Drosophila melanogaster: one gene and its partners. Changing the gene in region 1 together with any one later gene gives a genetic interaction. Each region holds a gene or a part of one and is shown in the gene's direction. Other genes may lie near its edges.

Region 1 (6,123 bases):
ACTTCTTCTTGAATATGCTTATGTTCTTAATGTCCTTGGACTTGGTTCTCTTCCGTCGAATGCTGACGTTCTTCAGTTGCTTGGCATTTGTGGCCACGTTGGCGAAGTACAAGAGATTCGTGCGCTCTGGAGTCCGGCAAATTGGCATTGAACTGAAACACAAGCTGGGCAAAGCGTACATGCGGCAATTTGCGTTCATATCCCTGAAAATATGCACTTGGCATTAGCAACGGAATGTTGAAATAGTTATCATACTCACTTGGATTCCTTGATTACTCCATAAGCTGCCTTTAATCGCTCCTCCAAATCGTTCATGGTGAGATTGGGGGATACGAAAACATGGGCATTGCTCAAGACATCGCGACAAATGGTGCCATTGTAAATATGGCAAATACCTGATGATTGCTGGAAACTGCAGGGCAAATAATATATTGCATTTTTAAGGATTAAAAGGATAAGGGCGTCTAAAGATTTCTGCATTCGAGTATACACTATGTTTAGTAATTTAAAAATATATAAAACATGTTAAGCTCATGATTTCATTAATTATTAATTCCACACAAAAGTATTTCGCTAATTATTGTTGCGGAAACTTGGGAAAACTTTCAGTGAAAATACCTACCCATATATTCTTGAGTCCACATTATGGCTCCCCACATCCTTTTTTGTAAATAAAAGCACGAGCGAAATGCAGACTATAAATGCCGAGTATTTGTTCATATTGCTTAATCTAGCTAACAATATGAAGCCTTTTGTTATTTCAATAGTCCAATTGACATGCCAACGATTCCGAAAATATTTTTGTATTTATCCTTTCGCGAAAACTTTATGTGGCATACAACATTTCATCCCCCGACGAAGTCGTTGGGGTTGTTGACTCCTTATCGATGAATCGATATATTTAGGAGTGCTATGACTCGGAACAAAGGAATTACACTATAATTTCTTATAATTAATAATCCAAATATCTTCAAAAGCTTTATTTATTTTATTAAAGATGGTTGTATAACGACTTTAGTCTCATTTAAAGTACACTTTCCCTTTTCACAGTGAAATAAGGGTAGAAAAATTATGCGAAATACACAATAATATGAATTTAACATTAACAATGTATTTGGTTAAAGCATTTATCATAATGATCTAGAGATTATCTATTGCTTTCGGTGTTCCAATCGTAACTTATCGTTACTCCATGCTGTCGACAGTTTCCTCGGTAACAAAGCCCACAATGCTAAATGCAGTTTCCTCGCTGATCCACAGAAGTCCCACGATTAGTGCCTCCAACACTCCGATGGCAGCACCGGCGCAGATATCCAAAATATAATGACGCTGGAGGATGAGCCGTGAGATGGCCACGCTTACAGCCCAAGCTGTGACCGGCATTAGGAATATGATGTGAAGCGGATACAGCTTGGCGAAGAACAGCAGCACAAAGAACGCCCGGGAGGCATGACCTGAGGGAAAGCTGAACTTATCGGGTCCAATGGTCAGCATATCCTTGCTGGCCACCGGTCGCCTGCGACGAACAAGCGCCTTCAGCACGGCCACGATCACTACGTCGAGTATCAGGCCGAAGAGCATATTGACTTGCATTTGATACAAGCTCTTCGAGCTGAGCAACCAGATGAAGGCGATCCATGAGACAAACCAGGCGATTCCATCGCATGATATCTCCAGAAATCTGCTGTGGATCCGCAGGGATTTGAAGAACGACAGATTGGAGACGGCTACTACAAAATGCTTCGACACCTGAACATCCTTCTCCAATAGGTATTTAAGTGCTGGTGATGACTGCAAGGACAAGATTTTAAAATTAGCACTTATCAGCTTATGTGATTCATCAGTGGCCAAAAACCAACCGTCCTCATATCGCTGTGTATTTCAACTCTTTTGTTTTTATTTATTGTTAGTGATGACAGTATTTCTCATTCGTCATTCGATGTATACTCGATAAGTCGAGCAAAGGAATATCTAATGACCGGAACGGTGAAATGAAACACTGCGCCAACTTAGTTTTTGGTCTTTATTAAATAAATTGCATTTGTATATGTTTATTTGTAAGTTATTAACACTTATTAGGTTTTAAACCCCTAATTAAACCTAATTTTAATCAAAAGTCGATTGGCTGACTTTAGCCGTTTCTGGTTTTGGTCCTACTGCAATCTGGTCACATCGATTTAAGTAACTTTGTTGTGATCGAATATTCCAATAGATTTTCGTATATTGTATTGTATCCATGTACAATTATTCTCATGCGAAAGTGCCGCAGATAGTTGATTCTTAAATTTCAATAACATTAACATAGTTTAAAATGCTCGCCACTTTGAGTGCCCAGTGTGTAGAATAAAATAGAAAAAAAATCGATTTTATATTTTCACAAGAAATTCTGTACTTCTTCGTTAAATGGTAAATAAATATTCTATTACGTTCCATTCACATCAAATATCGAATCACCGAAACACTCCTGCAAAACGTGCCATAATCGATTGAAAGCAATTATAGTTGTGCCGGTTATGAAAAAAATTATTGATATTTAACATAAAATGTCAACTGCCCAAAGAGTGTATGTACCTATGTATGCGCAAATGTCTAACGTTTACATATCGACACTACCCGAAGCGTAGACCGCTTTATTATCTGCAGCGCAAACGAGCGCTTTTTCGATGTACGAATACGGGGAATATCTTTTATCTGAGAGATAGTTTGAAAAGTTACTAAATTATCGACCCACATTTGTGTGGCTGTATGTGCATATGTATGTATGTGGCTTACATCTTACACATATGTATACCAGTAGAAGTTTACAGTTTTCATCCGCATACAAATCGTGTGTATGTACATATTTACACAGGCAACGGCATGCATACACATGAACGCTATGTACATCGCTGTGGTCCAACATTCCGTACTTTTATGTTTAAGCCGGACATATCGATTTTAAATCGGTTTTTTTTCCTGTGCGTGCCGCTAAACACTTTGCTCAAAGAACGAAACGCTCGGTTATTTCTGTTGGGTGTTTTTCCAACCATATTCGACATGTGTTCGGCAAACATTTAAATGCTTATCAATAGAAAAGGGGGTTCGGCATTCGAAGTCGGCTCAAATAAGTGACTGCGTTATGCAATTGTATCTTTTTGAAGGAACTCGATATTTTTTGCTCGTGGTTTGGCAACAAACTCGCCACACACTAGCCAGTAAATTTCACCCCTCGCGACAACAGAGACCCACTTAATGGCCATAACATTCTGCCGAAATAAGGCCAGGCAAAGTTAATGTTTTCCTACCCCCTAATTCCAGACGAAGTTGTCTGAAAACTGCCTCCACCCATTCAGAATGGAGCCATACATACGGACGTCTTTGCTCCTTATATAAAACAGAATCACACTGTAAAACCGTATTGATTTATCTTATTTACCCTCTTGAAAAGGCCGATATGCTCCTTGCTCTCAACTAGTAATAAATAAAATCAGTGAACAATGACGACAGCTCAGCACCAACACTACACCGTCGAGGTGGGGGACACCAACTTCACCATCCACAGTCGGTACATTAATCTACGGCCCATAGGATCAGGTGCCCAAGGAATAGTATGGTAAGTGGTTATCAATATGTTATTACATATAATACATTTAACAATTTTTTGGCTTAAACAATTAAGATATTTCGCATGAGTATGAAGTCATATTTGTAACGCTCCATTGTATATTAGATTAGATTAGATGGGATTAGCTGGAATATGAAAAAAAAAAATAACAAATTTAATGCATTTCAGCGCCGCTTACGATACTATCACCCAGCAAAATGTGGCGATTAAGAAACTATCTCGACCATTCCAAAATGTAACCCATGCCAAGCGAGCATATAGGGAATTCAAGCTAATGAAGCTTGTTAACCATAAAAACGTATGAAACTTGCACCTTTAACTTTAACAAATTTCTACTAAACATAGGTATTTAATCCGTAGATAATTGGCTTACTTAATGCTTTTACGCCGCAAAGGAACTTGGAAGAGTTTCAGGATGTCTACCTGGTCATGGAGCTGATGGACGCTAATCTCTGCCAGGTCATCCAAATGGACTTGGATCACGACAGAATGTCCTATTTGCTTTATCAAATGTTGTGCGGAATAAAACATTTACACTCAGCAGGAATTATTCACAGAGTACGTACAGTATGAATACATCTTTAAAATGAGTATGAAATATATGAAATACTTCATTTGCAGGACTTAAAGCCATCCAATATAGTTGTAAAGGCCGACTGCACTCTAAAAATTTTGGATTTCGGTCTGGCACGTACTGCAGGAACTACCTTTATGATGACTCCCTATGTGGTCACCCGATATTACAGGGCTCCAGAGGTCATTTTGGGCATGGGATACACAGAGAACGTGGACATATGGTCCGTCGGTTGCATTATGGGCGAAATGATACGGGGCGGTGTGCTGTTTCCTGGAACGGATCATATAGATCAGTGGAATAAAATTATTGGTATGTTGCTGCTTAAATAACTTGATTCTCGTTATGATTGTCAACTTTTACGTTTTTTCAGAGCAATTAGGTACACCATCACCCTCGTTTATGCAACGGTTACAGCCAACCGTCCGAAACTATGTGGAAAATCGTCCTAGATACACTGGATACTCATTTGATAGACTTTTCCCCGATGGCTTGTTTCCAAATGATAATAATCAGAATAGCCGCCGGAAGGCTTCTGACGCTAGAAATCTTCTTAGTAAAATGCTAGTCATTGATCCAGAGCAGCGGATATCTGTGGACGAGGCTTTGAAGCATGAATATATCAACGTGTGGTATGATGCTGAGGAAGTGGATGCTGTAAGTGATTCTGGCATAAACTGGATTTCTAGGAATGTTGAATGTTTTTAATCGCTTAATTGCATGCATCTCTTGCAGCCCGCTCCGGAGCCATATGATCACAGCGTGGACGAAAGGGAACACACTGTGGAGCAGTGGAAGGAGCTAATCTATGAGGAAGTCATGGACTACGAAGCACACAATACAAATAATAGAACGCGGTAGAGAACGACTTTTTCCTCCTTAGTCAGTCACAAGAAAACTAAAGCTTACCAACAATACGGCGTGTATTGTTAAATTATTACAACAAATAAAATATTCAAATTGTATTTAAAAATATAGTAACCATTAAAAAATAAAATCAATATGCGAAACTTTGTAATTTCTTACTCATCCTTGTTTTTTGAGCCCGCTTTCTTAAGTTAAATCGTTAAAATACCAGTTTAATCATTTCATTGTCCTGATTTCAGGAGCTAATTACATTTTAATCTTTGTATAAATTCATAAAATTTAAATGGAAAAGTTTAACCATATAAATTATTTCGGTATATAAAGTCGATACATACTTTTAAAATTTTGTTTCATACAAGAATATGGAAAGTAGATAATTTAGTTACCGATAAAAACATTTCTAAAATACAAAAAATTTAAAATGATGATTAAATAAAAAACTGTTATACTAAATTTAAACGAAACAAACGGTCATTCGATAACTCAATTAGTATCGAATAAGCCGGCGTGTAAATCGGGCTGGCAACTCTCACCGGTGTAGAGATCGGGATGGCAACTTCGTACTGTTATTCCTATGCTGCGATAACGATAACAGCAAAGTGTCATCGCGAATAAATGTGGGTTTGATAATAAAGAATTGCGTTGGTGAACAATAATAATACAAATGCTAAATGTATCGCGCGGATAACTAGTAAACACTGATTTCGCGCATATCGGGCATACGGGCAGCTAGACGTCTTAGGTAACACATTTCCCAGCCACATTGGCGTTGAGGTATTATTTCCCATATCCATGTGCGTTTGTAAATGATACCACCAGAGTGTGCCATATGTATCGTTGTTTGTACATACATGCCTACGGGGAAAAATAACTCGCAGATACATATGTATGTAAGATGTATTAGAATTCCACAGATATATGTACATATAAATATATATATATATTTATGATGCTCATCTATAAAACAAAATATGTACAAACATACGCGCGCACGTACTTATGTATGTACATATGTACGTACATATATGTATAATAAAATGAGCATCTAGCTGCGGTTATCTTAATGCAATGCGCAGAA
Region 2 (4,488 bases), on another chromosome or scaffold:
AGAAGCCAGGATTTCGCCGGCTGTCCGATATGGTCACACTCGCCCACTCATAAGAAAAGACACCCAAAATTGAAAATGGAAAAGCATCATCGCCTGCCCCTCCCGGAATTGCACGACGACAAACACAGACACAAACAGTGCAATGGGGAGAACAGCAATCGCTTCCGGCCGCCCAAGTACAAGACGCGTGGCTACGTCGCCGTGGACAACAACAATCTGAACCGAAGCCAATCGCTGGGCTCCTGTAGCACCAACAGTTCCCAGATCGCGCACGCGATCTCCTTCCGGGACGCCGGATGTTCGGATTCCAGTACGCTGCCCTCGTCACCAGTCCAGGCCGAGCTGAGCACCCTCTCCCTGTCACACTTCGAGCAGTGCTTCGAAAGGCTGGCCAAACTGGGCGAAGGATCCTTCGGCGAGGTATTCCAGGTGCGCGATCGCTCCGACGGCCAGTTATATGCCGTCAAGATCTCCAAGCAACTGTTCCGCGGCGAACAGTACCGCGCAGAGCGGCTGGAAGAGGTGCGGCGCTACGAGGAGTTCTCCGGCCATGAGAACTGCATCCGGTTCATCCGCGCCTGGGAGCAGTACGACCGACTGTACATGCAAATGGAGCTGTGCCGCGAAAGTCTGGAGCAGTACTTGCTGCGCTGCCAAAGGATACCGGAGGAGCGCATCTGGCACATCCTGCTGGATCTGCTGCGGGGTCTCAAGTCGCTGCACGACCGGAATCTCATCCATCTGGACATTAAACTGGACAACGTTCTGATCGGCGAGGACGACGAGACGTGCAAGCTGGCAGACTTTGGACTGGTCATCGATGTGGACAGGGCCAACAGCCATCACGCCACGGAGGGAGATTCGAGGTATATGGCTCCAGAGATCCTGCAGGGTCACTTCTCCAAGGCTGCGGACATCTTCAGTCTGGGCATTGCCATGCTAGAGCTGGCATGCTACATGGATCTTCCTTCCAACGGCCCACTGTGGCACGAACTGAGGCACGGCATTCTGCCCGAGGAGTTCATAAACAGTGAGTTGCGAACTAGCTGCCTACTTAAATGGCAGGTTGCTAAAGCCTTTCTCTTCGCACAGAAATATCACTGGAGCTGCAGTCGGTAATTAAGTCCATGATGAAGCCCGATCCTGCGCAGAGGCCGACGGCCGAGCAGCTACTCTCACATCCCAAGCTGCAGTACCTGCAAAAGAAGCGCAAGTCGCTGATGAACTTCAGCATGCTGGTAAGCATTCCCAAGCACATCTTTGAGAATCAATCTTAACCCTTGACAACTTGCAGTCGCGTAGTTTTAGGCGATCTCGCCGCGCCGTTTGGGGAAGAATGTGCAATTGGAAAACAGCCGCCTTTCGTTACCTTCTATACTTCCTGGAGGTCCTGCATCTATGCAAGCCCATAACGGCCTCACAGCCCAATATTAACATAGTGCCCTCCTCGCCTTCGTCAAAGGGAGTGCCTCTGGTGCCTCAGGTGGAGTTCCAGCTGGTAGGATCCACACCCATTGCCAATCGTGACTGCTATGCCTCCGACTTCCTTTCCGGCGAGGACCCGCTGGACCTCTCCAATCAGGGTAGCCCCAACGTAATAAATTCCACGCCATTGAACACAAACCAAGGCAAATCCCGTCTGGATTTGCTAAAGAATAAGTAAGTACCCTTAATCGATTAGCTCATGGACTAGCGCACATAACCCATCCGCTTTCAGTGTTGATTCAATGGGCAGGTACGTTCATGTACACGATTTCGAGAGTCCGTGTTCCGCCCTATCTTCCGCCAAGGTCCTGGACACCTCATCGTTCCGACGCAAAAAGCTCTTCGTCCTGGAATATGACGACGAGTGAGTGAGTACGGTGCCAGCGAGCAACGTAAACCGAATGAATTTATGATAAACCCAATATATATCAGTTACGAAACGAATACCAGATACATATGGCAACAGAATATATCGTTAATTGTATTTTGATTAGTTCTAGACCGTAGTGTTGTACGAAGTTCCCTAGATATAGTCTTACGATTGTGTAATGTTAATGCTTCTTTAGAAGAACTTGTTGAACTTGAACATATAATCATGTGATATATATACGAAAAGCGATTTGAAAAGTTTAAAAATAAAAAACTTATTGAAATTGAAACCTGCACTGAATGCCATCTATGACATATGATAACAACAAATTAAAGGTAAAAACCAAGAAACGTATAACTATAAAAATTTTTTTTAAAACATTTTTGAATTCTAACGTACCTTTCGTTTCGGGGAAAAGTATTTTGCCCATCTGGTAACACTGGCCGCTCGCACATGTTGAAAACGTAAACAAAAACGAGTAGCACAATTTTTGAAAATGACCAGGAAAAAGGCTCCTAAGAAAAAAACAGAGGTTGTATTCGACAACAAGAAACGCATGTAAGTAAGGAGACACAGAATCCCCGGAGGATACTAATGCCCACATCCCAATCCCGCAGAGAGTTTCTCAGTGGCTTCCGGAAAAGAAAGAATGAGCGACGATCGCGTGCAAAGGCGGATCTGGAAAGAAACCTTAAGAACGAGCGCAAGCGCATACGGCAGGAGGTAAAGGATGGCTTTAACCACCTGAAGAAATCCTTCGAACCGCTGCGCGAGCTCACCGAGGAGGACAAGGCCGAGGAGGCGGAGCAGCAGCAGGAGGAGACCTACGAAGATGATGAAGTGCAGGTGAAGATCGTGGAGCTGACCACCAACGATCTGGCCGCCAAGCGCAATATGTTGGGTGCCAACACGGCAGAGGAAAGCGAACCGGAGGAGCAGGCTGACCAGAGCGAGGAGGACGAAGCCGACCAGGCCAATAGGATACCCGGCATGGATTTCGATCCCAACGCCCGCAAACGTAAACCCAAGCCGGAGGACGAAGAGGAGCCGAAGGCCACAAAGTCCAACAACTCCACGCTGCCGGACATCAAGAGCAAAAAGGATCTCGACCGCCTGATGAAGACCAAAACGCTGAAGAAAATGCACCAGAGCAAACTGTTCAAGCAGAAGGAGCGCCTGGACAAGAAGAACAACCAGAAGAAGGCCAAGCGGGACCGCAACAACACCATCAAGAGCGTTCCCAAGCATCAGCGCAAGCAGCTCAAGTACGGAAAGGCCAACCAGACCAAATACCGAAAGGGTCGGATGGTCAACAAAAAGGAGCTGCGGCGCAAACGGAATGCCGACTAAATTTAGCTTTTAGCATAGTTTGTTTTACGGTTTATTTACTATTACTCTAGTTAATCAAATAAACTGTATAATTCCTGGCTTGTACAATAATTTTGCTAACACGCCGATGCGTTCGATCTTTTTTTTTACCGCTCTCCGTCGTATTCATCATGGTACATATTACATCCAACATACTTTATTTTTTTTGGGTTATTAACATTGGCAATATCGCTGCTCGCCGCCGTTCGGTTATGCTCTATAAATAAAAGGGGGGCGCCGCTAAAATTATAATAAAATTTTCATGGGTCCTAAATCTAGTCTCGAAATCTATGTACAAAGTTTGCTTGCATGCTGGTTAGGCATAGGTTCTTAACGTATTATTGGGTTGCTTTATTTCCATTCTGCGCAGTTGTGCAGCCTGTTTAGTGTTTGCCTTTACGGGGTTAACATTTTTTAAAAATGAAACATTAGAGCGGTAACCTTGTTGTCTGATTATTGGCGTCATTAAAGCGGTATCGCCAGCACGCGATTGATGCAAGGATACCGATTCAATGAAATAAAAACGAATTCAGCCAAACACAATCTTTCATTTCTTTTTTTTTATCGTACTTAATGATAGCCTTAGTTTCTAATGGGACTGTGTGCTTCGGTGAAGGTTGGGGATGATTTTGGGAGGCAACAATTATGTTCTAGCTTATAGCTTACAGTCCTACGCCTACTCCTATTTCTAATATGTTCATCATCAGCAGTTAAAAAACGTTTACAAAACTCATGCGAAATTGAAATCCAATAACAAATGCACACGCCGCAGTCGCATCGGCGTCATCTCTTTCTCCTGACCCTCGCCTATCCGCATCCAGTTAGGTTTGCTGCTGCTGCTGCGCCGACGGTTGTCGCCGACTGAAGCCACCGCCGGCGGACAGATGTCGTTGCAGGGCTCGCTGCTGCTGGAACTTGGCGCTGCCTGGTCCTCCGAAGCGGTTGAACTTGAACTTGTTGCGCTGCTGGAAGTTCTGGCGATAGTTCTGATTGTAGAATCGCGGAAATCCTCCACCTCCGCCGTTCTTGTTCCAGCGCTTCTGGCCCTCGTACTCCTGGAATGGATTGTACCCGGGCGTGCTGTTGCTGGCATTGTTTCCCTTAGCCGAACCGGACTTCACCTTCCGCTGACGTCCACGATCCATCTCGTTCTCTTCGTCGTCGTCGATGTCCCGCTGCCGCTGCTCACGCGCATCCACCAGTAGCTACGGAAAACAGAATATCAAGCATTAGGCTAGAGTTCGGACCTTGTGAATGGGGAGGCT
Region 3 (6,046 bases), on another chromosome or scaffold:
CGCCTCTGGCTTTTTGGCCACTGTCTGAAGTTTCAGGTACTTGCCTACGCCCTCTCTGTACACCTTCAGTGGCTCCTTCATGCGCTTTTGCTGCTCCTCCTTCTTGACAATCTCCTCCTTGCCGGCCGCCTCCTCCTCGCGCTCCTTGGCCAACTGTTCGGCTGCCTCGGCAAATGGATTCACAAAGACCTGTGAGGACTCAATGATGATGTCCTCAATTGGTCTGTCCTTGTTATCCACCTCGATATTTTCCATCTTTTGAAGAGTGTCTAATCCTCCGACAAGCTTTCCAAAGATGGTGTGTTTGCCGTCGAGATGTTTGCAAGAGCGATAGGTGATAAAGCTACGAAACAGCGTATACTTGCAAAAGCATTGAAAAAATGTCACTTTGTGGTACTTACAACTGAGAGCCATTGGTGTTGGGTCCCGAATTGGCCATTGATAGCACTCCTCGGCCCGTGTGCGTAAGATTCGGCTTAAACTCGTCCTCAAACTTCTTGCCCCAAATGGACTCGCCACCAGAACCACTTCCAGTGGGATCACCACCTTGCACCTGTGGATAAAACCATAGTAAATTAAAGTTTCTCTCAAAAGAGATCGTACTTACAATAAAATTCCTTATGGACCGGTGAAACATAACATTATTGTAGTAACCATTGGCGCAATGCTTGATGAAGTTATCGCAGGCTCGAGGAGTTTGATCGCAGAAGAGCTCCAGGTTGAGAGGGCCAAGGTTCGTATTTAAACGAACGTAGCCCTTCTTTTTTACCCGCTCGTACTTGACCAAATCATCATCTATGATAGCCGCCTCTATTTGGGAAACGGGCACCATGGCGGTAGACGTAAAACTGGCCGCCACCGCTCCAGTTGAATAGTGAGCTGCGTTGAACTTGTCAGCTGTACGCTTCGAAGTGGAGGCCTCCTCTTCCGCTGGCTGATAGTCCTGCTGCAGCTGTTCCAGCGTCTCCTTGGTCTCCAGATTCATGGTCTTAATGCGGCCGCTGGCTGGATTCTTTCTCTCTTGCTGCTCTTCTTCCGTCAGGACTCGTAGATTCTTCTTAATATGATAGAAGGTCGAGATGTCGTACTTTTCCAGCTTCTGAGGATCTTGTATTGTGATGATATCCTTACGCTGGAATGGCGTGTCATCCACCAGATCCTTCCAGTTCTTTGTCTTAATGTTCAGCTGGTCGATTGCCTCCCAGCAGTATACATTTCCAGTTGTGGCCACCGCCACGATGTGCGAGTTCTTGCTGAAGGGCTTGAACAAGGCGGGGCAGTGGTACTCATCGTTTGCATTCCTGTGGAAGTTCAGCTTCACCAATGACTTGGAGTCCATCTTCTGCCCGGTGATGGGGTTCACCTTAAAGGTCTTGAGAAACTTAAGAATGGCCTCGTACTCGAACACATTGCCCTGTAGATCGCAGTAGGGCATCTCGTAGGGCGCCATCGTAATGCAGCAGTGCTCGAATGGCAGCCGCTTGAACTTGACATGGTCGTTCTCCAAGGATTCCACTTTTTTGCCGCCATACAGCTCACTCCACTCCGTGTACGTGAGGTACCTGTTAAAGCAATGGGTAGTCTTCATTTCCATAACTCGCTGGATGTGCTAAATACTTACATTTTGTCCTTTTGATGCTGCCTTTTACCCATCTTGGCTGTTTGTTTTTTTAAATTAAATTTGCAATAAAGTAAGAGCTACAAATAGTTTGTTTACAAATGCGGGAGAGAACTGCCAACTCTGTGCAGATTTATGTTGATGGATATCTAGGCTGTTCACACTTCGGGTACCATAAACAAAAGTATCGAGTATTTCAAAAAGTTAAAAACGAATATAAAAACAAATAACAAGAAAAATGCAAATTTAATTATTTATAAGTATTAATTTTATAAGATACCTTTGATTCTCCAATGTGTGTTATTTAGAGATGCCCTGGCAGTGTGAACACTGCACATTGGGCGCTGCAAGAGGTTCGCCTTACTTATTCATTACCCAGTATTTTGACGTTGGCCAACACTTCTCTTAGGAGAGTCAGCTGTTTGCTGAGAAGGTTCAGCAGAATCAAACAACAAAGAATTTTCCAACTTATACTATACAGCGATATAAATAGTCAGAACGGTTGACCTTGACGTTGGGCGATGTCTAGCCCACATATCAACTACCGCTCCCTGGCCGAGGAGGCGGCCAGTCCGTTCCTGGAGCACCATCCCTCCACAGGCCAAGGCCCATCCAAAACACAAGACGCAAAAGCGAACGCAGCTGCTGCGCATTTAGACCCCCTCGGTGAACACGGGCTGGAGCAGCCGCTGGATGAGCACGACACCGAGCATGAGGGCGAGGACACGCCTCGAAACAGTGGCGTCATGATCCACATGGTTCCGGAGACGGGGCGTGCGCGGTGGAACCACATCGAGGACCTTGACTCGTTCTTCTCGCGAATGTATCAGTACCAGCAGAAGCACGGATTCACAGTGATTGTAGTGGACGAAATGCTACAGGTTCTGGAGTTTGGTTTCGTCGTCTGGCTACTTGCCTTTGTGATGCACTGCGTCCGATTTGACGTGCTCTTTGGGGACACCCCTCCAGGGGGACTTAACCCCAACAAGACAACTTTATCCGATGTGATGTACCCCACAGGCGAGTGCTTAGCCAACTTCACTTGGGTCACGTACCTGGTTGTGTTCATAGCCGCTATCTATTTGGGCATAAGGCTTCTGAAAATGGTGTACCATATTACCCAGTACGCCGATATAAAGAGATTCTACAACTCTGCGCTTCATATCGAGGATTCGGATCTGGACAACTTTACGTGGCACGAGGTGCAACAGCGGATTCGTCGCGTCCAGGCCGAACAGCATATGTGCATCGACAAGGAGTCGCTTACGGAATTGGACATCTATCACCGAGTTCTGCGCTTCAAGAACTACCTAGTGGCACTGATGAACAAGCAACTGCTGCCTGTAAGGTTCCACATACCGCTGTATGGCGAAGTGGTCTCGCTGAGTAGAGGTATGTTGTTCAACATTGACTTCATCTTGTTTCGCGGCCCTGGATCTCCCTTCCAGAACAATTGGCAGCTGCGTGATGAGTTTGCGGTAAGAAGCAATCAAACGGAGCTGGCGCAGCGACTCTCCAAACTGATATTGGGGGTGGCGTTGTTAAATTTGGTCCTAGCGCCTGTGATCTTCGTATGGCAACTTATCTACTTCAGTTTCTCCTATGCGAACATTCTTCGTAAGGAGCCTGGTGCCCTTGGCCTGCGTACATGGTCCAATTACGGCCGCCTCTACCTGCGCCACTTTAATGAACTGGACCACGAACTAGATGCCAGGCTGAATCGGGCATATGACTACGCGGACCGCTATCTCAACTCCTTTTCCTCGCCACTGGCCGCTGTGATAGCCAAAAACCTACTCTTTATCAGTGGAGGACTACTACTTCTAATCCTTGCATTGGGCATTTACGAGGAACACGTCTTCCAGGTGGAGCATTTGCTTGCCATCCTTGCAGGGCTCGGCGCCATAGGTGTGGTCTGCAGAACTCTAATACCGGATGAGAATCTCGTTTGGTGCCCAGAGCAGCTAATGACCGCCATTCTGGCGCACGTTCACTACCTGCCCTCCGAGTGGCGGCAGCAGGCGCACACGACAAAGGTTCGCCAGGAGTTTAGCAACTTCTTTCAGTTTAAGGCTGGCTACCTACTCAGCGAAATCTTCAGTCCCTTCGTCACACCCTTCGTGCTGATCTTTGTGTTCAGGCCAAAGGCCATAGAGCTGGTGCGTTTCTTCAGGACGTTCACCGTATCCGTGCGAGGAGTGGGCAACGTATGCTCCTTTGCCCAGATGGATGTTCGCAAGCATGGCAATCCCGACTGGCAGTTAACCAGCGAACTGGAGGAGATGACCCGGGCTACAGCTCAACAGCCGCAGCAGGAGCCACAGCAGCAAAGTTTGGCCGGCGGCAAAACGGAGATGTCGCTTCTTCGCTTCACCCTGAACAATCCCGAGTGGCAGATGCCCAAGGAGGCCAAGCAGTTCCTGCGCGGCGTTAGAGAGCACGCCGTTGGTGAACTAGTCCAGGCCAAGACGTCGATGGTGCAGGAGAACCCGCTGACCAACAGCCTCATCTCATTTGGCACCATGGGAGCGGATTATTGTTCCATTGCGAACTCTGTGCTGACCGCACAGGTGACGCCCCAGCAACTGGAGATTTCGCAGTCGTTGCGTCCGGGTCTAGGACCGGTATCTGGAGGATTCCCCGTCGCAGCCAGCGACTTCCGCCAGATGTTGCAGCAGAATCTGTCCGCCAGTGTCGGCCCGCTGGACAGCATGCGCCGATTGCGCCTCAGCCGGGCTGAAGGCCGCTTGGAGGGTCCGACGGATACACTGCTCTACGGACTCTGTGGTGTGGACCCGCGCGTGGGCAGCACTCCCTTGAATGTGGGCGTGGCCGACATGTGCCTCAGTGCCCTCTATTTGCACGAGCTGAACCAGCAGAAGCGCCAAGCGCGCCAGTCTCGCATCGACGAGGCCGAGGACGAGCGTCCTGGTACGAGCCATTGGCCACCGCGACCACCAGCTGCTCCGTCGGCTGATACTGGCTTCGGCTCCCGCCATACCGTGATTACCTCAAAGGCTGCCGAGAGCACGCCGCTTTTGGGTAGCATCCGCTCATAGCAGCGGCCAGAGTGGATCTAACCACCTGTAGAGCTAAGGACCACCCATTCTGCTATTAGTGATTAACCTAAATTTTAAAGTGTAAACGAACGAACGACGTCGTCTAGTGCGTAGCTAAACTAATCTGAAACTAAGCTAAACTAAACGAGAAGCAATAAACATAAATGCATTATCAAATTGATCAGCTTTATTATTTCAAAGGAAATTTCGCTAGATAATAACTAAATCTATTAGTGTGTAGTAGTTGTGATTACCCATTACCCATATTTACATATATATATATGTATAAACTATTTACCTGGTTTGATTATAATGGCTTGTAAATCCTAAGCATTATCCGTTGTGTATCCTGTGTACAACAACTGAAAGGAGACACCATAAAAAAAATCCATTTTCATTGTGAAGATTATATTTAATGTCTTTACGGCTTATCCCGATCTTAGCTCTCCGGGATGTGGGAATGCCAGCTCCATCAGCACTGATGGATGGTCCCCATTTGTAGGCATTGTTGGCACACCACATCCACCTGGTCCAGAGATCCAGATGCGAGTGGCTGAGGAGAACGCATCCAGCTGTGCTGCAGCGCCTCGTGTGTCACTTGCCACACACGAACGCCATTTGGCGATTGGTGTTGATGGCCAATGCGGCGAGCAGAGACCAAAGACTGGAGGAGATCGGGGCGCACAGAGTGGACCGACCAAGTGCGTGCCTATGAATCTCCCAAGCCGGCAGACACCGATACAGATGCAGATACCGCCGATCCCCGCCAGCTGTGGCAACATTTATGAATTATGTGCGTGCTGCATGGAGCTGGAGCTGTAGCTGTAGCTCTAGCTGGAATCTGCGGCTAGATCGCTGGAGAGCCTTTGGATCACGTTGTCTCATTTTTCCGCTGCACGCCAATTTTGGGGGGGAGCATTGGCCAACATTACACGAATGTACGAGCTGCTAGACGGCCACTTGCCCGTTTTGGATGCATCCTCCGACTCTCGCAGTGCGATGGACGTTGGAGATGCAGTTGCAGTTGCATGTAGTACTAATTGTAGAGCCCGCGATATCCGATCCGGCAGAGAGAAAAAATGTATTATCATTTTAAAAGAATATTGAAATAGTTTAACCATAAGTTCGACAATTGATAAGATAATAGATTCGTTAATATATATAGATAGATAGATAGAGAGATAGATAGATAGATAGATAGATAGATAGATAGATAGATAGATAGATAGATAGAGAGATAGATAGATATATAGATAGATAGATAGATAGATAGATAGATAGATAGATAGATAGATATATAGATAGATAGATAGATAGATAGATAGATAGATAGATAGATAGATAGATAGATAGATAGATAGATAGATAG

What was found.
Region 2: of bsk (region 1) and vito, changing one suppresses a phenotype caused by changing the other (phenotypic suppression), as found in Drosophila melanogaster (one study listed by BioGRID).
Region 3: of bsk (region 1) and Atg9, changing one suppresses a phenotype caused by changing the other (phenotypic suppression), as found in Drosophila melanogaster (one study listed by BioGRID).

Annotation. Positions count from the first base shown.
Region 1 is NT_033779.5:10,246,564-10,252,686, reverse strand, and holds bsk (basket), read left to right. Parts: upstream 1-2,185; 5' UTR 2,186-2,406; intron 2,407-2,944; exon of another isoform or gene 2,945-3,427; 5' UTR 3,428-3,476; coding exon 3,477-3,592; intron 3,593-3,772; coding exon 3,773-3,902; intron 3,903-3,964; coding exon 3,965-4,162; intron 4,163-4,225; coding exon 4,226-4,490; intron 4,491-4,551; coding exon 4,552-4,835; intron 4,836-4,913; coding exon 4,914-5,039; 3' UTR 5,040-5,185; downstream 5,186-6,123. Other genes in the region: Ror, read right to left, coding at 1-203, 260-412, 623-720; CG31717 (uncharacterized protein), read right to left, coding at 1,186-1,791, 1,860-1,868. UniProt on the Drosophila melanogaster protein: Mitogen-activated protein kinase and key component of the c-Jun N-terminal kinase (JNK) pathway which phosphorylate and activate transcription factors involved in a wide range of biological processes including response to various stresses, cellular proliferation, differentiation and migration, and regulation of cell shape.
Region 2 is NT_037436.4:5,775,129-5,779,616, reverse strand, and holds vito (viriato), read left to right. Parts: upstream 1-2,283; 5' UTR 2,284-2,351; coding exon 2,352-2,413; intron 2,414-2,472; coding exon 2,473-3,205; 3' UTR 3,206-3,293; downstream 3,294-4,488. Other genes in the region: Myt1, read left to right, coding at 76-1,030, 1,093-1,238, 1,295-1,659, 1,718-1,853; scny (scrawny), read right to left, coding at 4,045-4,428.
Region 3 is NT_033778.4:16,292,382-16,298,427, forward strand, and holds Atg9 (Autophagy-related 9), read left to right. Parts: upstream 1-2,018; 5' UTR 2,019-2,139; coding exon 2,140-4,677; coding exon of another isoform or gene 4,678-4,698; 3' UTR 4,699-4,851; downstream 4,852-6,046. Other genes in the region: CG7747 (uncharacterized protein), read right to left, coding at 1-343, 402-553, 608-1,562, 1,622-1,653.